Linked DNA regions of Oryzias latipes. The protein of the gene in region 1 interacts with the protein of each later gene in a biochemical or structural test. Links are inferred from orthologs where the notes say so. Each region holds a gene or a part of one and is shown in the gene's direction. Other genes may lie near its edges.

Region 1 (7,160 bases):
CCAAACTAAACGGTTGTTCTGCCCCCTCCAGCCAGTGACGGCATTCTTCTAGTGCGAGCTTTATAGCCAACAGTTCACGGTTCCCGACATCATAATTTTACTCAGCGGGGTTGAGTTTGCGGGAATAGAAGGCACATGGTTTGAGTTTTCCAGATGAACCCTCAGGTTGAGAGAGTACGGCCCCAACTCCGGAATCAGAGGAGTCGACCTCGACGTTGAATTGTTTCTGGACGTCAGGTTGAATGAGTATAGGGGCGGAGACAAAAAGTTCCTTGAGTTTAGTAAAGGCAGTGTCAGCTGCCGGAGTCCAAACGTATGGTCTATTGACAGAGGTGAGCTCAGTGAGGGGTGCTGCAATGCTGCTGTAATTACGAATAAATCGCCTATAGAAGTTGGCGAAGCCCAGGAACAGTTGTAATTTCTTTCGTGTCTCGGGGATCTCCCAAATGGTATGGGCTTCGATTTTGGCTGGGTCTAGTCGGATGTTACCAGCCTCAATAATATAACCCAAAAAGGGAACGGTGGAGACATGAAACTTACATTTTTCTGATTTAACAAATAATTGATTTTCTCATAACCTTTCCAAATGAGATGGACATGGTGTTTGTGTTGTGTTTGATTGGTAGAGTAGATGAGATTATCATCTAAGTAAACGAATACAAATCTTTTGAGGAAGTCACGGAGAACATTGTTTACAAGCCTTTGGAATACTGCGGGGGTGTTAGTGAGTCCGAAAGGCATGACGAGGTATTCGTAGTGGACCAAAGGTGTATTAAAGCCAGTTTTCCATTTGTCGCCTTCTCGGTTGCGAACCAGATGATAGGCATTATGGAGATCTAACTTGGAAAAAAATACGTGCCTCTTTGACTGAATCGAAAAAGGAATCAATGAGTGGAAGTGAATACTTGTCTTTTACTGTTATTTGGTTTAACTCACGATAGTCAATGCAGGGTCTTAAGAATTTGTCTTCTCCACGAAGAAGAAACCTGCACCGACCGGAGAGGATGTGGGACGGATGTGACCCAAGGAGAGAACTTGCTGGATATAATTCTCCATGGATATTTTTTCAGGACCTGACAGATTGAATAATTTTCCTTTAGGGAGGGGTGCGCCGTTAAGAAGTTCGATAGCGCAGTCATACGGCCTGTGGAGTGGCAAGGCGCTAGCTTTGGTCTTACAAAATACCGATTTAAGATCATGTTAGCAAGAAGGTACTTCAGACAAATCTATGTTTTCTTCAGAATCAGGTTTGGATGTAATGGTGGACGGAATAGCAGAATGAAGGCAATTAGTCATACAAAAGGTACTCCAGTTGGAAATGCGGAGAGTAAACCAGTCAATATGAGGGTTATGAAGTTGGAGCAAGGAGCACCCCAGAATTATAAGGGTCTGAGGAAATTGAGTAAAAAAAAAATCTATGATATTCTCTATGGTTACCGGAGGTGAGAATGAGAATAAGTTTGGAACGATTCGTGATCCGGGAAAGTTGTTGACCACCTAACCCGGCAGCGTTGGAGAGTCGAGTGGCCCGGTGGGTAACGTGAGTTGTTTAAGGAGATGCTGATCGATGAGGCTGTGTTCAGCGCCAGAGTCAATAAGAGCCCTATATTCGTGAATGAAAATTGGGGAGAGATTCTACAGGAACAAAAATAAATTTATTTTCTTTGGAGTTTTCAGAATTATCCCCCCGTGGCCAGTCATCTAACAGGGGGTACTGGAGTTTAAACGGATGGTGCATTGTGATACTAAGTGACCAGAGTTCCCACAATAAAAGCATAACCCCTCTTTTAGAATGATAATAATATTGAAAAAGTGTCAAAAAATGTATACTGTATGTAATAAAAGTAAATACTTATGTGTAGTGCATGAAAATAAGGGGCATAAATAAAATGTACCTTTTTTTATATATTTTACTGGAAAGATCAAGTTTTTTCCACACCAAGCCTTGCATATTTATCATTCTTGACATTTAAAGTCTTTACTGATTTATACGTATTTTAACAAAAAACACATTATTTGTTCCAACCAGCTTTATATTTGTTTAATCGTCCTATCCAACTGCTTTATATTTGCTATAAAAAATAAAAATAAAAAACAAACACACACACACACAAAATTGAGACAAAAACTTATTTATTTGGTGACATTCATGCATTTATTTTTGATTCACTTTTTCCAACGTGTGCTTTTTTCATGTTTATTCTGTGACAAAGACTCTCAGCATCTTCCTCTCAGCCTCCTTCCTCCTCATCCTATTTTCTTTTGACAATCATCCTTCAAATTCTGCACTTTCACTTCTGCCCTGGACCTGTTGTTTTCTCTGAGTGATCATACCAGCAAAGATTACAGCCACAGCAAATTAACAAAAATGAATCACCACTGACTTCCTACAGTAAATCAATCTTGAACAGAATCTCATGTTCCATGAAGTGAATCAAGTCATTCATTGCAGGAAGGACCCCTTCAAACATTAGCGGGACCTCTGGGGGTCCAAACACCCGCTTCACCACCAGATAGAACACAGAGGAGTTCATCAAGTGCATCCAGACCTCGCAGACCCGCTCCATTAAAAAAAAAAAAAATCATTTCTCCCAAACGGGACAGCAGAGATCCAACGGCTCGTCTTGTGGAGCTGATAAAAGACCAGCGCTAGGACCCGGGAGAGCCGGGCCGCCACAGAGGCATTGCAGACAGCGCGTTTGGGAGGTGTAGTGGAAGAAAGGCAAGAGAAACGGAGTAAATGAGAGACTTCTGTGCACATTGTTGAAGGACTTACCAACTCAAAATACCGCCGAAACGGCCCACTGTAATGAGACGGACACGCTGTTGAGTTCCCGCACAGGTAAACGGCCGCGTTTTCCGTCGCGTGGTTAAACTGCAAGAGGCCGACAGCCAGACAGGGTAGGTCCCCATTGTACTTACATGGGATGCGGTTATTCTCACCCAAGCTGCCCTGCTAGGCCCCATATCCTTTTTTTATCCATTGCGAAGTGAAAACCCCCGAAATGAGACACTTTTATGGCTCTTTTTTGTCGCCGTAGAATCGCCGCGTTCCAGTTTAGGGCTTATGAACTCGTTGTGGTTTTGCACCAACCGCAGAAAGACACTTTTTTCAGACGCTAATCATTCATTTTTCGTTTCTTTGTGAAGACTCACGGAAAATATTGACGTAATTGGGCCTTAAAGAAATAAAAGAATAAATAAAAAAAGTTGAGTCCAAACTAAATGCTCAATAATAGACAGAGCAGCTCATTCATTGTTATCTATTAGCACTTTGTTTACTGCTTCTTCTTCTTGAGCTCAGAAATGCTGCCACACATTTCAGCTTCAGCTATTAAAGGTTTGTTTCTATCACTGTCAACAAATCTTTGCTGGGAATTGTCACCCTGCACTCTTGAAAACGTGTCCTTTCAGTCATTTTATGTTTTTTGGCCTCTGGCTTTCGGACACCAGGGAGGTCTCAAGGAGAGGCCTCAACTGTTATTTTCATGTTTTCCTCTCCAGTAATCAGTTCAATGACATAATGCTTGTTTTTATGGTTTCTACTGCCCTCACTGTCATTATTCCACCTACAGCGATGACTGTTACTAAAAGCATCCCATTTAGCCAAAGGTAGTTTATTTTCTTTTCTTTTTTTTCCTCCCCAGCAGTCTTATAGATGTGGAGGTGCTGCACATGGGAACAGGACAGCCTTCATGGAAGTGTGAAATCATGTTTGACTTCCGTCTCTGGAAGTTTCCAGAACATTGTCCCCAGGCGGGCTGTTCTCTTGAGTGTCAAAGTTGTTTTGTTGGTCATGAGATTGCATTGCCTCAGTTTGTGTACACAAGGGGACGCGACATGTGACCCCCGGAGAGGACGCAACAAGCTGGCGTGGTGATGCAGCCAGTGACTGCTGGGCTCTCCCTGTTTTATTTAGAAAATACCAGCAGCCTCCCACCCAATGCCCTCGCAGCTTCATTGACGCAAATGTGCCACCGGTTGCATGCTGGATCAGAGGGTTGTTGCTTGAAACGTTTGGTTTCTGCAAAAGAGACTCCCAGATGGTCCAGGCTGTTGCGCAGGTGAGTCAGGTTGCCTTCAAATTGGCTTCTCCATCGTTTGATGGAAAAAACAAAAAAACAAAAACAATCACATCAGAGAAGAGCTCAAAGTTGAGCTCTGAGCTGCATCTGTACACTTCTGCACAGCCTGTCTGGACAGCCTGAAAGTGAAAACAGTTCTGGGAGTCATAAAGGGTTTGCTGTTCATGTCATCACAGGATTAAGCTTCTTGCTTGTCAAGATTGCTCCTACTGTGGTTTGGTATTTAGTAACAACTACTCCACTTAGCCTTAATATTATTATTATTGGTGATGTTATTTTTTTAAGGAACCTAAAAGAGGAACGCTGTACGGTGTAGTAGATCACACCAATGCCTGTTCCTATTGTGGCATTTAAAGCACACCAAGCATTGCCTCAATGTTTTCTTTTGCCAGGATCAGGGGAGAATGTTTGATCTCGTCTTTCTTGTAATGATTTCAAAAAAGAGTACTGTTCTACCTGTGTAACCACAAACCAGCTGCCAGGTTTTGCTTACTAAAACGGAAACAGAAAAATGAGGAAAACCAGATTTGAATCTATTGATTTGGAGTGAATTTGGTGGTGTCTTGATGACTGCTTGTTTTTTCTTTTTTGCTTCCTGCCTCTAACACATGGGACGGTTGTCTCTGTCCTCCCAGTCACAAGCAAACTATTTGACATCTTTTGCTTCATAGCACTGATTAGTATTGAAAGGGGTCCCCCCCCCCCCCCCCCCTCTCCCTGCAAAGGTTTAGATAGAAAAATGAATGATTGAAAGCGTCTCTGACATCAGGGCAGCCAGGCAGGCGGTGGCCCACCGGACTGCAGATCATGTGACCCGCTGTCAGGGTACTGGGTTCATTCAGTGGCTGCTGGCTGCAGCCCAGCTTTTCCACACAGCAGAGCCGCAGCAGCGACAGGTCGCTCCCGGTTTAAAAACAGCCAGATCTCTGTTGTGGCTCCAGAGTCAGACTTGTGTGCAGTGTCGCCATTTTGGTTTGTGCGACGGCTCCCGGTCTGTATGAAGGTATGAAAGCACGCATGCCGGTGTCACAGAGTCCGCCTTAAGATGCTGACGTGATCCCAACTGCTAGAGTGATTAACTGCGCTCTGTCTGTGTGCTTTTTACAAATCCACGTGCGCAGTGCTTCACACGGTGGCTGTGTGGGACAACACCAGCCACTGTGCAGTAAACACAAGCGGCGGCTTCAAGAGACTTCGAAGGTTTAGTCAATGATGGAAGTGAGAATGAAGCTGCAATAACAGACGCGCTCATCAGATATTAAATGACAGATGTTATCAAGCCCCGGGGCAGTTCTGATATGACTCGTAGGCTGTCGAGTCACATTCACTTCCTGTTGATGTCAAATAAGCTGGATGAGGTTAGCCAGGCAGATCTCTTTCGATGTGAGCAGGAAAAACAAAATTGATTCCCATCAATAGTCAGAAATTGCCTTGTGCAGGACATTACATTTGTGTGTGCAGTCATGGCAATTGAACCTTGTTGATGTCTCTTGCCTGATTCAATGGTGTCTTTATGAAATAAAGAAGGGGTAAAGGACCAAAAGGTCAAGTGTTTTGGAAGGGTTGGCCTTCAGCTCGTTCAAAGTGTGTTCTGTGGGTAACAGATAAGTGTGATGGAACTTAGCCTTTTGTGTCAGCTGACTGCAGTTTCACCATGTCTGTTAACACTCTTAGTTTTCCTTTAAGTGTCCTTCAGTCTGAATGCTGTACTCTGAACACAAAACCACTCTTATTCTCTGAATGGGATGCTTTTCGGTTCCTTATGAGTACTAATGACGACCGACTTTTATAGTAAATGTTTAGTTTTCAATTAGGTCATGTGATTCTTTGAAAGGTGATGGCATTCCAATGTGAATTTTGGTAAATCTGATCAACTGATCGTTGACCTGACTCCAGATTTTGAGGCCAACTTCTCTTGTTACATGGGATGAAATAAATCCATCAATTATTTAGCCGAAAATTATATGTCTTATTGATGCCATCTTGATGACACCATAATTCATAAATTGCCATGCTTACTGAATAATAGTAAATATCAGTTTGTAGAACAGATCTTGAGTTTTTTATTGCTGTTTTTAATGAAACTTTAACTGGTTTAAATGTAAAGACTTGGGTGAGCTTATGGCTCCTTGTTGTGATTTTATCTCACAAGATGATTTGGTATAAGACGGGACTGTGTTTAAAAATCAGTCTTCCTTTAATCTTTAATATCAATTCATCAAATAAATATAGCAAATTTCTTTTAAACTAGTTTCTTTGATAGTTTTTGAGGTTTAACAGCTCTTTTGGTGTAAAAATATACATTTTCAAAGGTATACTTTTGCCCACCCTACTTTTTTTAATACATATTCCAACAAAATTGGTTTTGGAATACAAATGACTAAAGATTATGTATTTGATCAGCTTAAATCCTGAATTTTTGAATAGAAATAAAATCATTTTTTGTGCATTGGTAGCGTTTGTATCAGAGAAAATGACAATAACGCAACAAAACAATGAGTCGGAGATGAAGGCTTATTACTTTGAAACTTCTTCTTTGACATCAGAAGCCAAAGTGATGTTATATGTAAGCATGACATTTAGTTTAGTGGCAGTTTTGTTCTTCCTGCTATTGTTTTGCTCTGCCATCTTAACGTTGTTAACATTTCCCATGTTTGAAGTTCCCATAGAGGGCTTCATAGTGATACGTTTAGCACAAGCGTTGGACACTTCCAACGAATGGAATTTATACATAAATTAAGTTCTTTCTTTTATCTCAAGCATCATGTAACCCAAAACAAATGAATTCTGTTGAGGCTGTTTGTAAAAATGTCCGAGAATGACTTCATTTCTGTTCAGGTCAGAGTTGAAAGGAAAACTTCTCGTCTGTCGGGAATGGCTGTGTTGGTGAACAACATGGAATTGTCCAAATAGAAAGACTTCATTCAGAGTGGCAAAAACCACGGCCTTGGATAGTTATTCAAACCTTGAGATGCAGCAGGTTTCGCATGTTTAGGGATCTCTGTTGCAGCCGTTGCATGTTCTCCTCTAATTGGGCCGTAAAGTGCAAGGAGTTTCGCGATTCCACCGCCTTCC
Region 2 (6,477 bases), on another chromosome or scaffold:
GCTGTTATCCTTTTTATTCAATCTCCTCCATGTTGTGTCTCCTGTACAGATACGTATATCTATCCACATAAATCTTGGATCGCCGTCAGATCTTTGTTTTCATTCAATAGAAATTGACTCATTCTTCTGCGAAGCTTTGATCTTTGAGAGCTTAAACAAGACAAAAGTGGGAAAGTGTTTATTTCTGTCTAAGGAAAGTGTATAGCATTAATAGAGAGGGAATTTATAGCCTTAAAACATATATAATTCTACTTTGCAGGTTTAACCTATGGTGGGATATTTTTAGAATTTTAGAAGTCCTGTGATAAATCAGGGAATACTGGATTGATGGGTAGGCACATAATAGTTCCACTTGCAAAACCTTTTTCAGGCAGCTGAAATTTAGACCACAGTAGCATTAACTTATTTCATTTTTCCTTAGGGAATACTTAAAAAAATGTTTTTTTGGCTAGATTTTTAAGCCTTTTCTTTTGTTACGTCACCAATAACTTGATTTAATCTACCTCTAACCAATCCTACATGGGGTTCTAAGATTTTTCAAGTTGCGACCCTCTTGTTACTTATAAAACAGATTAATTTGTGATTTTTGTGATTCATTTTAAGCTAAACTTTCAGTAAAATTATGTGCCCCCCCCCCCCCCCCCCCACATTTCAATTGACCTATTAATGGAGCTCCTGTATAAAAATGTACACGAATGTAAAAATGCAAAAATGTGGTTGAAATTAAGTAAAACAAAACAAAAGAAACCTATTAAATTAGAGATCAGACTTTGAGTGCCTGGACACCCAGATGCAGTGTGGACATGTTTTTATGATGGTGAAAGAAGCCATACTTCCACAGTTTTTATACACCAAAAGTGTGAGCCCCTCTTAGAGCCTGGGTTAGGTCATGTCCACGCCGTCCTAAGTTCAAATCATTTTGTTGTTTTTGCTCTACAGACCCTGCCAGGTTCCAGGACACCTGGAGACTGTCTGATGGGTTTGTTGCTGCTGAAGCTAAAGTCGTCCTTCTTCATCGGGCCCGCTCAAGGTGACTCATAATAGCCAATAACATAGCAACTGTTTCACTTTGAATGCTTACATGATATTCATTTTTTCTTTTATTAGGCCTGATCTGATGGACAACTACCTGGCGTTTGTTCTTTCAGCCTTCATCAGCAGCGGGCTGTTGGAGGTGAGCCACATTGTTTTTATTTACTTATGAGCTCCGTCTTTATTTTTTCGGATGCATCGAGCTAAATTGTAAATTGTTGTATGACAGTGCAGTATTGCATTAAACTTTGGCTGTGAGTGCTTACGGTGATGACGCTTCTGTTTTGGAACATTTTGCTGGTGTAGGGCTTGGTGGAAGTGGTGACCAGCAGTGATGACCAGCTTTCTATCAGAGCCACCATCCTCCTTGGAGATCTTCTACATATGGTAATAAAAAACTAAACAAAATCTTAAACATTTTAGAAAGCTGGATTGAAATCATTTGTCCTACTAAAGAGCATTGGTGTCATTTCTTCTGACAGTGCGTCTCTGATTTCCTTGTCTCTGCTTCTGTGTGGTTTAGGCAAACACCATTCTCCCTCACTCCCACAGTCACCACCTTCACTGCCTCCCAACTCTCATCAACATGGCGGCCTCGTTTGACATCCCCCAAGAGAAACGACTGTGAGTCCAGTCTGTCCCAAGGCTTCTGTTCCTCCTCATGAGAAAACTGTCATCACTACAAACACAACTATGTCCGAAAATATTTACACACAAAACATTCAAGTGTTGCCCGATCTACTTATAATCAGTGCTGATGGGTTACATCCAAATTAAATGGACTACTAAAAATGTTTGTGTTAATAAATGTATATAAATATTTTTAAAGTAGTACTGTAACATGTAAAGTTTGTTTAAAAATTCATCCATCAAATAATTTAGAAAAGTAATCTAGAAATATGTCTAAATCCAAGGTCAGTGCAGTGAAATTAGATTGTCTTGTCTGGAAGGGTTGTCTAAAGAAAGCTTTTATATCCTTAAAAATGACAAAAATTAATTTCACATCCAGAGAGACTTTTGTCAGGCTTTAAGAGAAGCTAAGGTGGACATAACAGAACCTTAAAGGTTTATGACACTTCCCACTGAACAGTTCATCTGGACAGATAAGTGGTGTTTGGTTGTCGTCTGATGTGGTGCCGTGTTTAACTGTCGAATCACAAACTGCTTTCGTTAAGGGATGCAGGCAATGCATAGAATCGTTTAAACTGTTAACCGTCGTAAAAACGGGAGAGAAAATTTGATGATGGACCAGGACAGTTGAGCTCTAAAGGAAATCTACAGATCGCCCTAAAGTTTCTATCATTTCTACTTTACATTCATTTCTAACATGAGCAAACAATGCAAGTTTTTGTGTCTGAGCTGTGTTTATTTAAACTAGTGCTGCAGTTTTCACATTTTTTTATCAATTCATAAGATCATCTCTTTTCTTTTCTTTTGTTTGTGTTCCAGTCGTGCGAGTGCAGCAGTGAACAATCTGAAGCGCTTTCACGAGTGGAAGAAGAAAGGTTTGAAGCCGTACAGTCTTTACCTGGATCACATCATTCGCAAGTCCGTGTTGACGCACAACCGCAGAGATTCCCACTCACGAGTCCAAAAAGACATCTATGTGATAAAGGTAAGCTTCCTTCAGAAGTATTTTCCACGCATATTATCAGGCTTTGCATGTACAAGTTGTGCTTTTCCTAAAAAAGCAAAGTGTGGACACCATCCATCCATCCATCCATCCATCCATCCATCCATCCAATTCCATATACATGCTGCAGTGAATGAGAGTTATTACATTTTTAAAATTACGTCTTTTCTGTTTAAATAGAAAGAAAATCAGTGTCTCCTTTTATTTTTTTAGTTTAGTTATACAGAACGCACTTCATTGATGCTTTCTTTCAGTTTCCAGATCTATGTTGCACAAAAAGAAAGCAATATCACAGCCATTTTCAAATACTAAGCTTCGTTGATTTTCCTTTTGCTTGCTGTCAAATCAAGTTTGGCTTTCTTCTGATTTTCAGGACGCAGAAGAAGCACTGATGCTGAACCTGAGAGACAGTCAGATTCTCAACCACAAGCAGAACCTGGAGTGGAACTGGCTGCTTATAGCCACCATCCTTAAAGTCAGGCATTTCACATGCAAAACAGATTAATGGCTTTCCACCCTTTTCTAAAGTTCTTCTTCTCTTTCAGTGGCCAAATGTTAACCTTAGGAACAACAAAGATGAACAGATGCACAAGTATGACGACACAGTTCTTTTGAATGCTTAAAAACTCTGTTAAATGTTACTCTGACATCTGAAATAATTTTTTTTTTTGCTGCAGGTTTGTTCGAAGGCTGCTGTATTTTTATAAACCCAGTAGTAAATTGTACGCAGGGTTAGCATTGGACCACCCAAATGCTCGACAGCTCACTGTGGTTGGCTGTCAGTTTGTGGAGTTCCTCTTGGACTCAGATGAGGTTAGATCAAGTAGCACAAACATGTAAATAAATCATTCGTCATTTGATTCCTCATCAGCTCTTTATCGTTCTTATTTTCCTCCCTGCTGTCACAGGACGGTCAGGGTTACCTGGAGGATCTAGTACGAGACATGGTGTCATGGCTGTCCTCCTGTTCGGGACTGAAGCCCGACCGCTGTTTGCAGAGCAACGGCTTACTCACCACACTAAGCCAGCACTACTTCCTCTTCCTTGGGACTCTCTCTCCTCACCCACAGGGAGTCAAACTACTAGAGAAATGTGGCCTGTTTCAATGGTGAGAGATTTGGTTTCTAGGAGCTTTCCAAAGCTAACGGAGTCTGACGAAAGTCTGGGGCATTAAACAAACATTTTTCTTTCATTAAAAGGGGGGCACCAGCAGTTTTGTTTTCTACATGTGTAAAGCATGCTGGCAACAACATAATTAATTAGTCTGCATTTTTGTTATTTGCAGCCTGCTGAATTTGTGCTCCATAAAGAACCAGGATGCTCTGCTAAAGCTCGCTGTAACCACATTGGACTACAGCCGAGACGGTCTGGCCAGAGTGATCCTCTCTAAGGTCCTCACTGCAGCTACTGACGTAAGACAACCCCGAATGTATGCATAGCCTTTCAATGAAATACTAGGGGATCATTTTGTAAAAAGAAATCATTAATGAATAAAGATATAGCTCTATGTTAAAGTGTAAAAAAACTTTCTTTGAATTTCAGAGTTAAGAGGCATAAGATAATCTGATATTTCTGAATGTTCAGAATTAATGGATGTTCTTTCTGTCTGACCTAGCAGACGTGCAGGCTGTATGCCACCAAGCACCTGCGTGTCCTCCTGCGCGCGGGCGTGGAGTTCTTCAGCAGCTGGGGCATGGAGCTGCTGGTCACGCAGCTTCACGACCACAGCAAGGTGGTTTCCATAGAGGCTCTGGACATACTGGACGAGGCGTGTGAGGACAAGGTGACTGAAACTGTGCTTGGCTTAGATCAGTGGTCCCCAACCTTTCTGTCACCGCGGACCGGTACAACGCAAGACACGTTTACCGCGGACCGTTGGGGGGGGTTGAGGTGCAACGCAAGGCACGTTTACCGCTGCCTGTTAAAGGCACATTTCCCTTTTTTAGCGGGTGCAAGGTCCTCTTCTGTCCCTTCATTGGACCGTTTCCCCTTGTCAAAGCAACTTTCTAAAGAAGTTTGTTTTTTGCTCATTTTGGTTGTTTGGGTTTAATTTTGGCGGGGTGTATCACGTGATGTTTGGTGTCGCGACTTTGACGTGCATTAAGTGTGACGGATGTAACAGAGAAAATCCGGTCACTTTTCAAAATAAAACGTTTTTTTCGGGAAAAAAAACAATAAAATGGAAATTATTTTTTCTTTCTGTGCGTCCCGGTGCCAAAATTTGGGGGACCACTGGCTTAGATGATTCACAAAACAGAAGGCGTTTGTGTCATTTCAATTAACAGTTTCTCCTTCAGCCAAATAAAGTTTTTTTTTTTTCCCATTTGCTAGTCAACACAGAAATAATGTTAAGAACAGATTTTGGATCAAGCTGACTTGTTTGACCGTCTGCTGTTTCACAGGCCAACCTTCATGCTTTGATCCAGCTGAAGCCCGCTGTGTCCCACCTGGGAGACAAAGGTCTCTTGCTGCTCCTCAGGTGGGTTTTCTGGGTGGACTTACCACGTGCTTTTCCATGTAAAAATTGCTTTTCTCCAGCTTCCTTCCTCAGTCCATAAAACACTTTTTAAAAGTAAGTTTATGCCTCTGACTTCCTTTTTGGGGAGAACAACAGGTGGGGTTGCTGTCGACAGCAACACCCTGGAAATAGTGTGTGCATTAACAAAATCAAAATCATGTGATTTTGTTCACCTCAACATACTGGCAGGATAGCTTTGTTGTAAGTGAGTTACACTCTTCGAGTAAACTGCTCAAGATGTCTTGAAATTATATTCTAAGCCTATTTCAGGAATTGTTGCATAAAAAGTTATTTCCGTTGGTTTTGGTGAACCATGTTTGCTGGTGAAATCTAAAACCTTAACCAAGTTTTGATTTTTTTTCTTAATTTGCTGAAGGGAATTAATGTGTTCTTACGCCCACGTTTTATGGAAAGTTGTTTGGAAAACGACTGATGACACATTGTGCTGACAGAAGATCATCACTTTTGAACAACAAAAATGTGAAATAATATCCTATGTTCCTTGAAGACCCACTCTGAGGAAAATCCTGTTTTGGCAGTTTTTACTTGTTGTTCTGGCCTTTTCTTGTCCATTGCCAAAATGAAAGTTACATTTTATTTTGCAGGTTCCTGTCCATTCCCAAAGGTTTCTCCTACCTCAACGAGAGGGGTTATGTCAGCAAACAGCTGGATAAATGGCAGAAGGTATTGGGAGAATTAAAAAAAAAGAATAAATCAAAAGAAAAAGAAATGTAAATGCACCAAATAAAAATTCTTCAAAATAGGCATTCTTAAATGACTTTAGTTAAGAAGAGATATCGATAATTGTTGGAGTTTGACTAGTCTCTATGGGATTGCAGGAGTACAACCTTAAGTATGTGGACTTGATAGAGGAGCAGCTCAATGAAGCACTGACAACTTACCGCAAACCTGTCGATGGAGACAACTATGTTAGACGCAGCAACCAAAGGTGGGACGATGGATTTCTTTAGAGTCTAATCAGATGCAGTGCTTCTCTGGTTTTTACTTTGATTCTTTGAATCCATCTGCAGGTTACAAAGACCAAATGTCTATCTGCCTGTGCACTTGTACGGTCAGCTTGTCCATGATAAGACGGGCTGTCATCTGTTAGAGGCCCAGGTAGGGCGTCTTATTTCTCAGCTTGAATTTTTCTTTTCTTTTTTTTTTTTTTTTGTTAGTTGTCCGATTTGACGGTTTTGTTGTTGTTGTGTGCAGAATGTGGTTCCAGACCTCAGCTACACAATCCGCTCCCCGATGCTGGACACCTGGGAAGGAATTAAACAGCTGAAAGCGT
Region 3 (6,477 bases), on another chromosome or scaffold:
CCCTCCCTAGAGATGGATCGCTCTTTGGTATTGATTAGAGGCCTAACGGAACGCTACAGACTTTCAGATGGAATATCGTGATAGATAAACCAGGAATTCAGAAGTGAGATTATTTTGCATTAAAATTCCAGAAAAAAATCAAATTTAGGTTAGTTGGGATCAAAAATATCTTTTTGGGCTTTAGCTGATTCACTCCTCGCATTTCTTCTTTTCACAGATGGCAGGTTACTCAATATGCCGCGGTCGGTTGGTCCAGACGCCACCGGCTCAATGGCTCCTCTGAGCAGCGAGCGCAAGTCCTCAGCGCCCATCCACTCCAGCCAGCCGGTCCTCTTCACCTTTGACGTGCCTGTGCGCCACTCGCACCACGGCTCCCTGTCCAACAGCGCGCCTCAGGACTACCTCCTCCTCCACCAGTGCATGAGCAGGAAGACGGAGAGTGCACGGTAAAGGTCATGACCCTCAGACATCCTGCATTGGTTTCCTGTTTTCTGTTAATGCAGGTCAACATACAGGTTTACGGCGCTTCCTCAGTCCAGAAGCCTCTAAGGGTTCAAACTACCGTTGGAGAGGAATAACAGGCGGAGAGCTGTCTGTCTGTGGAACAGCCTAGAATAATGCAAAAACAAGAAGCTTTTATTCTAAAAGGATATTTCTACATTTCTGTTTGATTCAAAGTGATGATGAGATGGAGAACATTCAGGAAAGAAGTACATTAACCCTTAGTAGTCCAGGGCCTTTTCTTTTACTTTACAATATCCTCTAAAAATGTATCTTTAAAACAGTTTTTTGTGACGAGCCTTGACATCATTTTCTTTGCACAAACTCAGTTTTTTATACAAATATCTATTTTTTATTATATTGCACAATAACACAAAAAAACCTGAAAGTGTATAATGAAATAAATTCTGATAGATACTGATGGTACATACTTGTATAGTCTATAGATGAGGTGCACTGAACCATAAGGCAAAAGAGTCTGAGAATTGCAGAGTCTTTATGAACCACATTCTCAGTAACTCTGGAACATGTTTGTAACACGCCACACGTTAGCCACATTAGCCTATACATAATAACGCTCAAACTTGTTTTCAACACGTAAAAACAATGGACAGATGCCTCTAAAACAACCGTAACTGTGACTACGCTAACTCCAAACCCTGTTAGTAACAGGCCAACATGCTAGATGTTAGCCGCGTTAGCATATATAAGGCCCTCCGAGGTGTAAGGTGCTGTCGTTTTTTGAAAAAAACATTTAAAGAAAAAAGGTTTTAAGTGGGCCTTATTGTACAAAAAATCCTGTTGTTTTTTCCCTGCAAAAATCAACTGTTTACTTTTACATTATATAACAAAGATCAAACGATAGAGACAAAATAAAAAAGTTTAAATCTAAAAACAAACTCAAAATGATAAAAAATATCTAAAAAAAACAGCTGAAGCTCCACTAAACTATTTTAAGGTTTATGTTTCATATAAGGTTTATGTTTCATAACTCTAGGTATATTTTTTTAAACAAAATGTCAAAGCTAAAGACTTTTTAAACCTTTACGTAAATATCGAATGAAATCAATTCTAATGGGGGTGGGGGGGGTCTGCATCCTTTCTACGTCATTGGAAAACTCACCGTGAATTTAGAGACTGCTTAGGTAAAAAATAGTCACGTTTGATACGATGGAGTAAAAATAGAAAATTAATTTGCAATTTTAAAGCCATAAACCTCTCAGACTGAGACGCTGCTCAGTTCAAGTCAACATTAATACTTTCTCAAAGCCTCCATCGGTGCCCTTTAAGAGAAACACAGCCGAAGCAGCCATTCATCACTCCTGCAGGTTTACGCTCCTCCAGAGCGAATCTGCCCCATCAGCAGAAGCAGCTGCACAGAAAGGAGTCGTAGTGGAACTGAAGAATCAAACCTCTCAGTCGATCTCATCAGCCTTATGCCCATTTCTCCATCTCGCCTCTGCTTCGCTAATTAGACGCACATGTATGATTCATGCTTCAGTGGAAATCCTCAGGTTGATGGTTAGTGATCTAATTTCATCTATATAAAAGCCCCCCCCCCCCCCCCCCCCATCCACTTGTGCATCAACCATAGTAGGAAATGATGTATTGTGCATTGTGTCATCATTGATGACAAAAAAAATTTGCAGTTCAATTTGTGCTTTCTTTTCAGAAATGACCACAAGGGAGGGGGGGGGATTTTTATTTATTTTATTTACTGTTTTCAGCTGTTTAACCCTTGTGCTATCCTAGGCACTTTAACATTGGGAATATGGTCATCTAGACCCATTAGACAGTGCGCTGAACCTTTTTTCTTCAATGATTTGTGATCTTCACTGGTGTCCATGGATTACATGAAATCCTCTACACCTTTATCCACCTTTGTCATGGTAGGGAGAACACGTCAAAGTAAGGGTGGGCTCATCTAAGATAGCACGAGGGTTATTAAGCTGCTCTTGTTGGCCGTCAAGGTCATTTCCACAGGGGGCCTGAGTTAGGCTGAGAAAGTCTGAGCTCCCGTCATCCTCTACACCTAAACCTGTTAGCACGCTGAGGACTTGCTTAAAAAATCAAGTTTCAAAAAACCTTAAAAATATTTGAGATTCTACTATTTTGGATGCATAAGCTGCTCAGGCAGTGGATAGAGACTTTCGATTCTCCTTATTAGTGTAACACTGCCATCTAGTGACTGTAGATGTTATTACATTTATTTTAGGTGACAGGACATAATGACATTGTTTCTAGAAACAGATGTGTGGCAGTTGTTTGCTCACAAGGGTCTTAAAGACCCACTCTGATTAAAAAATAGTGTTTTCAACATGTTTTTGGTCAAATACAGCATACCGTATATCAAGAAAATATGAATACATTTCTTTGTTTCAAATAAATGAAAATAAACACAAGAGTTTATAGACATAAAACAAAACAGTGTGCTTGAAAACGAGTGGATTGAAGAAAAATCTTGTATGATCCCACACCTCATGATGTGGGTATTTCTATTTACAGTTTTGTTCAAAACATTCACATTACATTATGTATAGTAATGTAACTCAAATAGGAGCCGACAAAGAAATGCAGTTTGGAAAAGATTGGAACGAAAAAAATACACTGGACGGGCCAAAAGCTCCCTGCTTCATTCTAGACGACTAGATCCGTGCACGTCTTCATTTTCCTCACTCAAGATGGCACCTGGCTCCAAACTGTGCGGCTATGTCTTAGAAAACGATACAGATTTTTCCATTTTGCATAGAAATGCCATAGTTCTGATAAAAATACCAAAAGATGAATAGGAGTGGAACTTGGAGGCTTTGTGTGGAGTGCCCATGGTAAAAACCCCTCTACTTATGCTTCTGTTGCAGAAGTGCCAGCTTCTCTCAAACCACTCGCAGCAACACGCTGACGGGGAGTGACTCTCCAGTCCAGAAACTTTCCTACGGCTTCTCACACTGTCTGAATGGCACAGGATCTCAGCTGCACGGCTTCTACAGCCTCCCCAAGACAGGGCAGCAACAGCTCAGTGTGCACGACGGCTCCCCCCAGGAGGCCTGCTACGTCCTGCCGCGGGGCTACAGCTCTGAGGCTCCGCTCCACAGCAACTTCAGCGACCCCGATCTGGAGAATGACGAGGTCTACACCTTCAAAACCCCTTGCAACGCCCTCGCCACCATGCACAGCAACGAGCGCTCGCCTGACAACTACGACTTCCCCACAACGCCCGGCTCCTTCTACCAGATCCCGCGGACGTTTGACAAGAACCACAATGCGCTCACACCCCCCAGCTCGGAATCCTCCTGCGCTCCGCCTCCTAGACCCCCTAAACCAAGCCAGGGGTCAGAGGGGCAGAGGGGGAGTCCCCGCTCAGCTGGAAGTCAGAATGGGGAAGTCAAGTCATCGGTCATCCCACGCAGGAACACTCTCCCTGCTGTGGAGAACATAAGGCTGCACAGAGGTACATTTTCTTCTTCTAAATAAAGATTGTGTTTTTAACGTGTTCTTGGGGCATTTTTCTGATGACCATTGAGCTTAAAATAACATTTCTGAGTATTTCTTTATTGAAATCATGAATAAGAAGCAGACCCAAAACTGCAGTTTAAAAAATAATATATGTATAAAATAAGCTGGGCGGGCCATATGCTCTTGGCTCCGCCCCTATTTGATCCATCTACTTGTAGACGACTAGATCCATATACGTCTTGGTTAACCTTGACCGAGCTAGAATCTGACTCCAAGCTGGTCGACTGGACGGCTCCAGTGTTTTTGTTGAACTGGTTATGTGAGGTTGTGGGTGCTATCATGAAAACAGAAAGCTCTCAGCAATGGAGAAGGAAAGGGGGACAGGGTTATTCACGCCAGCGGTCCCGCCGACAACTCTTAAGCAAATTTTCTAAACCTGCTCTGCAGAAACTATGCCTTAGAAAACGACAGATTTTTTTTATCATTGTTTTTGCCTTAAAACAGCATCGTCATAATTAAAAGACTACTTACTGAAATAGCTCAAAAGTTGATCGGAGTGGGTCTCTAAATCATGTCTGGATCGACCACGCCTCTTTCCTTATGGCTCCTCTGCCTCCCCTTGACCCCCCCCCCCCCCCCCCCCCCCCCCCCCCACACCTCCTTTTTTTTCCTGCCACTGGACAGAAACAAAGGCCTCAGTGTAGGAATCATTGCTTCGTTTAGACGCTAATGAAATTCAAGTCATACAGGCCGATCCGAAATGCCTGGTTCCAGACCGATGAGCCGCTTTTAGAACAGTACCGCTGGACACAGCGCTTGAATTCTTAATTTGCCGTGTTTGTTCCTTTGCCAGGTCCAGGCTCAGGCTTCAGAGAAAAGGACTGATTTGTGACCCTCATTAGTGGGGCCTCTGGCTGTTCACAAACCTGCGCCACAATGACTAACTGTGGTCATATGAAGCACATAATTAGATGTCACTTGTTTATTACATGAAGCATTTCAAAATGTCTTTTTTTTTTTAGTCCAACTAACCTTTTTTTTTTTAGGATTATTGCGACACGTGACTTTGGAATTGTTCCATTTGTACTTTATTTTTTTGTATTTATGGTAATAGAAACGATTGAATTTCTCATTTGTCATGAAAGGCTCCTCCTTTGAAACCAACAACCATCATCGTCTTCATTTCAACAACCAGTCGGTAGAGTCCGTCAACGACGGATTCAGCTCCTACTTGGTGAGTTTATACCAACGCAAAGTCATCAACCACAGAGGAGGAAAGCCTTTTATGTCGCATCCTTGTCTTTACTGAGGGTGAGGAGGCGGCGGCCGTCACATGACCTCTGTGTCTTTCAGCAGCTGCGAGCCCAAGCGCCTCTGACTCGCTCCGACAGCGGCAACTCGGATGACAACTACGTTCCCATGAATCCCGGCTCCTCTCCGCTGAGCGCCTCCCAGGCTGACAATCCCAGCGACATCTACATTCCTATGACCCCTGGACCACACTTTGATTTCCCAGGATTCTCTGCCACGTTGCCTGCCCGCAAGGGCAGCAGCGCCTCCCTGTGCCACCGGCCCACTCGTTACAGTGATGTCACGCCTCCGCCTATTAACCGCAACCTGAAGCCCAACAGGAAATGTGAGGTTTTTTCCCCCTGCGTGTTTCATTTGTGTGTTTGATTTCTGTTTTTCCTTTTTGACCTTGGGTTAGGATGATCTGCACAGCATTCTTTTAACTTGTAAAGCTCTTAGGAACCAACTCAAATGATACACAACAACACCCACATGTTGCCTTTGCTTTAAATGGCGTAACTAGATTTTTTTAATGGAAGATCTGTGCTGGTGTTTTCCACAGCGAAGCCGACGCCTTTGGACCTAAAAAGCAATGGGATCATCGACGAGCTGCCATTTAAGAGCCCGGTTACCATGTCCTGGACACGACCCATGTGAGTCCCTGCTTTGATGTTCGCAGACGTCACGCCGACGACATTTGTTGGGCGCATTGACTGTATATGAGAACCGGACTGAGCGAGAGTGACGTCGGTCACCGTTTTTCCCCCCGATACGGATGTTTTCATGTTGGAGCCAGACGTCGTCAGTAAGCAGTGAGTCGGTCTGAGGCAATGTTTCTATGGCAACCACTCTCGCCAGTCAGAAGGGAGATTGTTGGAAGGCCACACCCCCCACCACTTGAAATCGGGCCACAAGAAAACTGTCAAACGTTCCTAACGTAGGACGTGAGATCCAGCAGGCACCACTTATGTTAATCCAGGCATCTGATTGGCCAGTTTATAACTTAGAATAAAGAAAAAGAATTGGCAGGAAAATGTTAAAAAGGGTATCAGAGCAAGAATAGTTATTCTGACTAATAGAATGACTGAGGAGCCGCTGTTTATTTCTCTAGAGAAGTCTATGGGATTTTCCTTCCTGGAACCAGCAGGTACTTCCTGTTTGGAACGCCGGGGGTACAGTTCTCATAAACGGTTAATGTTTGGGCTGGTTGTCGTTACCGCATGGAGTCATGGT
Region 4 (6,477 bases), on another chromosome or scaffold:
CAAACCTTTCCTCACACTCTGTTGGTTTCTAATGAGTTTTTCAGGGTTCCTCTGCAAGGTGACTGCTGTTTCAGTTAAGATGAAATGAGATACAGTATTTCCCCACCATATACGCAGGGGTTGGTGACCAGTGACTCCCTGCGAATCCGGACCCCACCCCCAAACAATGTCCGTCACTGATCCTTACGCACCAAAAACCAATTCAGATGCTTTGTAAACCATTTATTAAAGAACATTGGATTATTGCTCAACGTAAAAAGTTTTTTTTGTCTTTTCTCAGACTGTACGTTAGCTTACAGGGAGTGTCTCTCTGTGCCTTAAAACCAGAGGGCATCTTCTTCCAGAAGAAGCCGGTTTCATCCACCATTCATTCATCCGGATGATAATTATTCTCCGCGATTATTGTTCTCAGCTTTTCAGGATGTTCTCCGACCGCTTCTCAGTCAACTGATGCTATTTCTCCATGTAGGGGCACAAACTTCGGTTGGTAGCAATTCAGGAACCAGTTAAAAAAAAAAAAAAGTGAAATATTCTTCTCTTACAAGCGTCTTGTGCTGAGTTTTTGTGATGAACTGGAGGAGACTGAAAAAATCTGCGACTGCGTGAAACACGAATTAGCAGGGAATACTATTTAGATGAGATATTTCTCCATAAGTATTTGACGCTTATGAAATCTCAGTGAAGCAGAGATGAGCTTGTGTCTGAAAGAGGACTTTACACAGGAACCCTGGTTGTCTCCTTCACCACCCACCAAGGCATCCTGACCCCCTCCCTGTTGTTGTTCTCCCACCGCTTCCCCTCCTTGTGTGTGCAATCGTTCCATCCTCTCATTCTGCGGCTCTTTCTCTCATCCACCATCCCTCGCTCCCTGCGCTGCACGGGTTTGTCTGATCAGTCTTCCCGTACACCCGATCGCAAGGAGCGCAAGGCCAACTCCGCTGGCAAGAAGAGGAGGCGCTCGCCTTCACCTCCCAGCACTCCCGCAGAGTCCCGCAAGAAGGGAGGAAAGAAGGGGTAAGAAACAAAACGGGTTAAATAGATTTCAAACTAATCAAACTGCAGCAAAAAGAGACATTACAAACCCACTTTGGATGAAGGGTCCACTCAGCTGCTGCTCAGATTTTGGGAGCTTTTCTGCTAGAACTAAGTGTTCAATGAGCACCAGGTTTGACCTCCATTCACTAAAATCTATGTGGCCATATTATGTTGAAAACATTTAAAATACCAAAGAATTTCTGTCATTTCTCTGAACTAACTTTTAAACTGACTTGTGGCAGGAATCCAGGCTCTCACTGGAAGCGACGGGGCCACAGAGGAGAAGAGGAGGACATGGAGGAGGACATGACAAAGGACTTGGACGAGTCCTCAGCCGGTGCCAGCATGGAGGAGGGCAGTATGTCTAAGAATGGTATGTACTGCAGCCGCAAATGCAGCTGGAGCCTAAATGTTTAGATGTAAGATTATATTTTAGCTACACATCAAACGCAGCCGCATGCTTTGTCCATACAGACCCTTTACAGTGTGACAAATGTAAAACCATCTCAAATGTTTGTAGACGTGTGAAACCTTTAGTATAGAAAAAAGTTTTTCAAAGCAACGAAGACGTACTTTCCTATTATTTTTTTAGGAATGTTTGTCTTAACCAATTGAAATGCGTAGAAACACATTTCAGTCCAAAGCTGAAATCTGCTTTAATTGGGTTGACTGCGTCACCTGATCATTGTTTTTCTGGGTTTTGTTAGATGACATGGAGGATGACTCTGTAATGTCTGGTGGAAAGGTAAGAAAATTCAAAGATTTTATACAAACAGACTATAAGTGAAGGTAAGGCCAATGCACAAAAATCTATTACTTTAAAATTAGACACATACTACTACATTAGTGCCAAATTATAAATTTAAGCATTAAAGTAAAGTGTTTTGAATTTTTAAATTACTTCTGTTTATTTTATATCATAAAGGATAAATGTAAAACAAAAATCCACTTTGGCTTTGACACTCTTGTTAATTTTCTACCAAAGTTTACTGTATCATTAAGGATATTTAGAAACTTTATGTAATAATTTTAATAATTGTCTATTGACAGCCCAAAGTCCTGAAAAAGGTTTTGATATTAACTTCTTTAAGGGGGAAAAACATAATGAGAAGTATTTGAGGATAATTTGTTTCAAATATTTTCCTTTTAAAATATAAAGTTATTACCGGTAGTTAAAAAACAAAGAACATTTTAAAGAACAATACAAATGTTGATTTAATGGTCAAACATAAAATTCCTGATTCTAAATTACATTTTATTGTGCTTGAAATACAAACATTTGCTTCATAAGATTTTTTTAAGAGTTTGTAGCTTTTATGAAACACGTGGGAAATTAGTTTGAACAAAATCAAACTTTGTTCTGTTGGATCACAGATTTAATAGAACCTTTGAGGCCAGCCGTATTTTGTCTTTTAGTTTCTTATAATTGAGGTTTTTCTTGCAGGATGATGAGGAACAAAACAAAGGAGAAGTGAACCGAATGACAGATGCCAACGAGGATAATGTGACCGAACAGACTCATCACATCATCATTCCGAGCTACGGAGCTTGGTTTGATTACAACAGGTACGCTCTAAAAATGCTGCTACCAATAAACGTGTTAAACATTTCTGATGAGTGTGTTTGTCGGTTGCATTAAACAGTCTTTTTTTTTTCTCCTTAAGCATCCACGAGATTGAACGAAGAGCCCTGCCTGAGTTTTTTAACGGGAAAAACAAATCCAAAACTCCAGAAATGTGAGATTATATTTACAGACTCAGCCTCACTGTCAGATACATTTTTCTACATCACACTTTCTAAATCGCACTATAATGTGATTCTTCTCGACTTGTTGACAGATATTTGGCGTACCGGAACTTCATGATTGACACGTATCGGCTGAACCCCCAGGAGTACCTCACCTCCACTTCCTGCCGCAGGAACCTGACAGGAGATGTCTGCGCCATCATGAGGTGAAGAGGATTCAGGGCTTTTCTGCTTCTTTGATGCTCATGTTTTAATCCTGAAAAACAAACGAACAAAAATGATCAGAGAAATTGAATCTGTGAATTTCCCTGTGATGTTTTTAGGGTTCATGCCTTCCTGGAGCAGTGGGGTTTAGTCAACTACCAGGTGGACTCTGAAAGCCGCCCGCTCCCCATGGGCCCCCCACCCACACCTCACTTCACTGTCCTGGCTGACACCCCGTCCGGCCTCATGCCGCTTAACCACAGACCGCCAACGGTAAGCACAGCTCTGTTTAGGTGGGAGCAAAGTCACTTTTACTTTGAAGTACATGTATGATATCGACTTATTAATAATCGAGTTTAAAACTTGAGACATTTTCTTCTTAACATTGTCTGCGAGAAAATAATTACCGAAGCTATATATCTTATGAATTGTCAACACCAAATGCCGGCAGAGTTTGACATTATCACCAACAAAATGTTTTAAATATATATATCAGCTTTCATTCATGAAGAAGTCACTTGTTTTCAGTAAAGAAAAATTAACAGCTTAAAACCAAAGTACATTTTTATTTAAAAAGTGCTTTAATACCTTAGAGCTCTTGATAATTGTCGTAATATTTTCCCAACAGATTCCTCCTCAGCAGCCGATGCCTAATTTTGCAGATAAAAGCAAAGATAAACCCATCGACCTGCAGAACTTTGGCCTTCGTGCTGACCTCTACAGCAAGAAAAACACTAAGGTAAAGGTCCTGTTTGACATTTGCATGAGTTCTGCATGGAAACTATTGGAGATGCATATTCCTTAAACAAACGGCAATGTTGAACTTTGGTTTTCTGCAGTCTAAAGCAGGCATCGCCACCAGAGACTGGACTGAGCAGGAGACTCTTCTTCTCTTGGAGGCAAGTCTTATTTGTTTAGATATCGGCTTCTGTCAGTGGATCACAATTGTGTGTCTGTCTGCACTTGTCTTTATTTTTCTTCTGTGTTGCGACTTTATTTTTCACTCATCACAGGCCCTGGAGATGTTCAAAGACGACTGGAACAAAGTATCTGAGCATGTCGGTTCACGCACCCAAGACGAGTGTATCCTCCACTTTCTGCGGCTGCCTATCGAAGATCCCTACCTGGAGAACACAGAGGCGTCTCTGGGTCCGCTGGCTTATCAGCCCATACCCTTCAGCCAGTCTGGAAACCCTGTGATGAGCACCGTGGCGTTCCTGGCCTCTGTGGTTGATCCCAGAGTGGCCTCTGCTGCAGCCAAGGCAGCTTTAGGTAAAAAAAAAAAAAAAACTATGGAAACACGCAAGGACATTTAGAATTTCATGTCATGTTCTGTTTAACTTTACTGCATCAGTGCTACTTAAGACATTGAGACTGCAATAATTGTGGCATTTTTAAACGTAAGCGCTAAAGCAATACAAATCTAGATTTTATTTTTTTTAATCTGTTCCACTGCAAAATTAGAGGGGAAAAAATCCTCAAGGTTTTTAATTAATTAGATTTTTAGATTTAATTAGCATATTTAAAAAATAAATACTGAACTTGTTTTAGTTTTAGGATGAAATTGTTTCAAAGTATTGTTTTCCGTGCCAGTGTTGTTAATGGTGGACGTCGGCCCTGAACGAGCTGTGAAGATGCTTATTTTTATTATTATTTTTTAATATGGAAATGTCCTTGCTGCGTTTGCAGAGGAGTTTTCTCGCGTTCGTGAAGAGGTTCCAGCAGAGTTGGTGGAAGCTCATGTGAAGAAGGTGCAGGAGGCGGCGAGGAGTACAGGAAAGGTTGACCCCACCTTTGGCCTGGAGAGCAGCGGGATCGCTGGAACTGCTCCCGAGGAGCCAGAAAAGACTGGTGAGCAGCATTAAAGCAGACTTACATTGATGTCTTATGCAGGGCATTTTATATAAGGTTTATTCTTAAACATCAGACGGGTATGATGGCGCCTAAAGTGGGTCAGGTTGGAGGTTTTTCTTCTGACTTTTATATCAAATGCTCCACCTGAGGGCGACATGTTGACTGGAGGAGGTGGTTTGTGTGTGGAGATGCTGGCGTTCAGAGAAGTGAGGGAAAATGAGACTCTCAGACAAAGGTGATATCTCATATCTATCCCATTTGAAGGAGAACTGATGAAGTCTTTGCCAGCAAAAATACTGTGTGTTTATTCTGCCTCTGCAACCAGTGGATTAAAACAACAGTGACAGATGGGGCAGACGTGGGTGGAGGGGTAACAGAAAACTGGGTCATCGTTCTCACTGCTTGGACCCATTTGTCAATTTTTGCTCTGTGTTTTACAGCTGCTCACCTTTTTCCCAAGGAACAGGCCTGCTGTCAGCTTTGCACAGAGAAAATGAGATTATAGTGGCGCTTTGCGATGCTCTTTTCAATTTCTGATATTGATATTTCATGAGAGGTGACAGGTTTTATTTAAAAATTCTGCTTAGATTCACACTGCTGATTTTTTTTATGGTGTTTATTATGGTGCAACACGTTTTGTCATCTTTAAGTAGATAAAATACGCTTTTCTATTCGTGTTGGTGTCTTTAAGATTATTTCAAGTAATGCCTTACTTTAATATATCCTACCTCTTTGCTTGAATCAATATTCCTGAAATAATCTGGAGAAAGTAAGTTGGAGACATTTAATTTCTTCCATGCTTTTGATGCTAAAACATGAATGAGCTACTACATGGATCCACCAAAGCCTTCATGAGGGGCAAACCTCAGTCACAGCTCTAATCGATAAACTTAAATGTTTTCCATGGCTCACTCGGTCTAAAGCACTCAGACAATAATCAGAGCCTTAAGGCTTGCTTAAGTGCCTCTGTGACATGCTTTAACTCTCTGCTGTGAAAACTTTCATCCGTTTCTCTAAAGGTTTCCTTCCTCTGTATCAGAAACGTTTCCTACTTTAACCTTTTAGTCCCATTTTATGAATTACAGCAGTTTGATTTAAAGTGTATTCTATATTTATAGTGTATTTTTTGTGGTAATTTGACAGCCTCCAAAAATTCAGTGGTGACTATGACAATTATCTTTTTTTAAATATCAAACTGATTTGTTCATTTTAGATCAAATTATACATTTTTACACCTTTTCTCTCACTATTTTCACCTTATTACAGAAACTACAGAGCCAGAAAAGATGGAGGCAGACACAGAATCCCAACAGGCCGATAAGGTGAGATCATTTCAGTTTACTAAAGTTATTATTATAATAATATATTTTTTAACTTTATCACACATAGTGATATGCTTTAATTTATCAGTTGTACTCATGAGAATGGAAATGTTATCATTATGGCATAAGATAGAGATACACCAAACTACCAATCATATTGTTCGGTCCATCTGTTGCCAATAAAGTTGTCTTTTCAAAACATGTTTTTCAAAAGAAGAAGAAAAACATATTTAATTGTAAATCAAATTAGTTTGGGAAATTATCTATTAAAATTGAATTGATTGAGTTTGAGCTCTGATACCCGACCTCAGAAACA

The links.
Region 2: of the proteins of akt1 (region 1) and rictor, one has a biochemical effect on the other in vitro, tested with the Homo sapiens proteins (7 studies listed by BioGRID, with this or other methods). The link is inferred for Oryzias latipes from reciprocal best matches to the Homo sapiens genes AKT1 and RICTOR.
Region 3: of the proteins of akt1 (region 1) and gab2, one has a biochemical effect on the other in vitro, tested with the Homo sapiens proteins (2 studies listed by BioGRID). The link is inferred for Oryzias latipes from reciprocal best matches to the Homo sapiens genes AKT1 and GAB2.
Region 4: of the proteins of akt1 (region 1) and smarcc1, one has a biochemical effect on the other in vitro, tested with the Homo sapiens proteins (2 studies listed by BioGRID, with this or other methods). The link is inferred for Oryzias latipes from reciprocal best matches to the Homo sapiens genes AKT1 and SMARCC1.

Annotation. Positions count from the first base shown.
Region 1 is NC_019880.2:14,665,575-14,672,734, forward strand, and holds the start of akt1 (RAC-alpha serine/threonine-protein kinase), read left to right. Parts: upstream 1-2,648; 5' UTR 2,649-2,901; intron 2,902-7,160. UniProt on the Homo sapiens protein: AKT1 is one of 3 closely related serine/threonine-protein kinases (AKT1, AKT2 and AKT3) called the AKT kinase, and which regulate many processes including metabolism, proliferation, cell survival, growth and angiogenesis.
Region 2 is NC_019867.2:18,749,989-18,756,465, reverse strand, and holds part of rictor (rapamycin-insensitive companion of mTOR), read left to right. Parts: intron 1-939; coding exon 940-1,030; intron 1,031-1,107; coding exon 1,108-1,174; intron 1,175-1,338; coding exon 1,339-1,419; intron 1,420-1,555; coding exon 1,556-1,656; intron 1,657-2,481; coding exon 2,482-2,647; intron 2,648-3,038; coding exon 3,039-3,140; intron 3,141-3,210; coding exon 3,211-3,257; intron 3,258-3,342; coding exon 3,343-3,478; intron 3,479-3,573; coding exon 3,574-3,773; intron 3,774-3,950; coding exon 3,951-4,077; intron 4,078-4,283; coding exon 4,284-4,448; intron 4,449-5,067; coding exon 5,068-5,144; intron 5,145-5,788; coding exon 5,789-5,867; intron 5,868-6,022; coding exon 6,023-6,132; intron 6,133-6,214; coding exon 6,215-6,302; intron 6,303-6,398; coding exon 6,399-6,477. UniProt on the Homo sapiens protein: Component of the mechanistic target of rapamycin complex 2 (mTORC2), which transduces signals from growth factors to pathways involved in proliferation, cytoskeletal organization, lipogenesis and anabolic output.
Region 3 is NC_019871.2:6,588,609-6,595,085, reverse strand, and holds part of gab2 (GRB2-associated-binding protein 2), read left to right. Parts: intron 1-217; coding exon 218-446; intron 447-3,359; coding exon 3,360-3,949; intron 3,950-5,099; coding exon 5,100-5,188; intron 5,189-5,307; coding exon 5,308-5,590; intron 5,591-5,806; coding exon 5,807-5,897; intron 5,898-6,477. UniProt on the Homo sapiens protein: Adapter protein which acts downstream of several membrane receptors including cytokine, antigen, hormone, cell matrix and growth factor receptors to regulate multiple signaling pathways.
Region 4 is NC_019874.2:27,736,265-27,742,741, reverse strand, and holds part of smarcc1 (SWI/SNF complex subunit SMARCC1), read left to right. Parts: intron 1-895; coding exon 896-1,014; intron 1,015-1,277; coding exon 1,278-1,408; intron 1,409-1,742; coding exon 1,743-1,780; intron 1,781-2,479; coding exon 2,480-2,601; intron 2,602-2,699; coding exon 2,700-2,771; intron 2,772-2,873; coding exon 2,874-2,987; intron 2,988-3,104; coding exon 3,105-3,258; intron 3,259-3,613; coding exon 3,614-3,724; intron 3,725-3,824; coding exon 3,825-3,884; intron 3,885-3,998; coding exon 3,999-4,257; intron 4,258-4,674; coding exon 4,675-4,836; intron 4,837-6,105; coding exon 6,106-6,161; intron 6,162-6,477. UniProt on the Homo sapiens protein: Involved in transcriptional activation and repression of select genes by chromatin remodeling (alteration of DNA-nucleosome topology).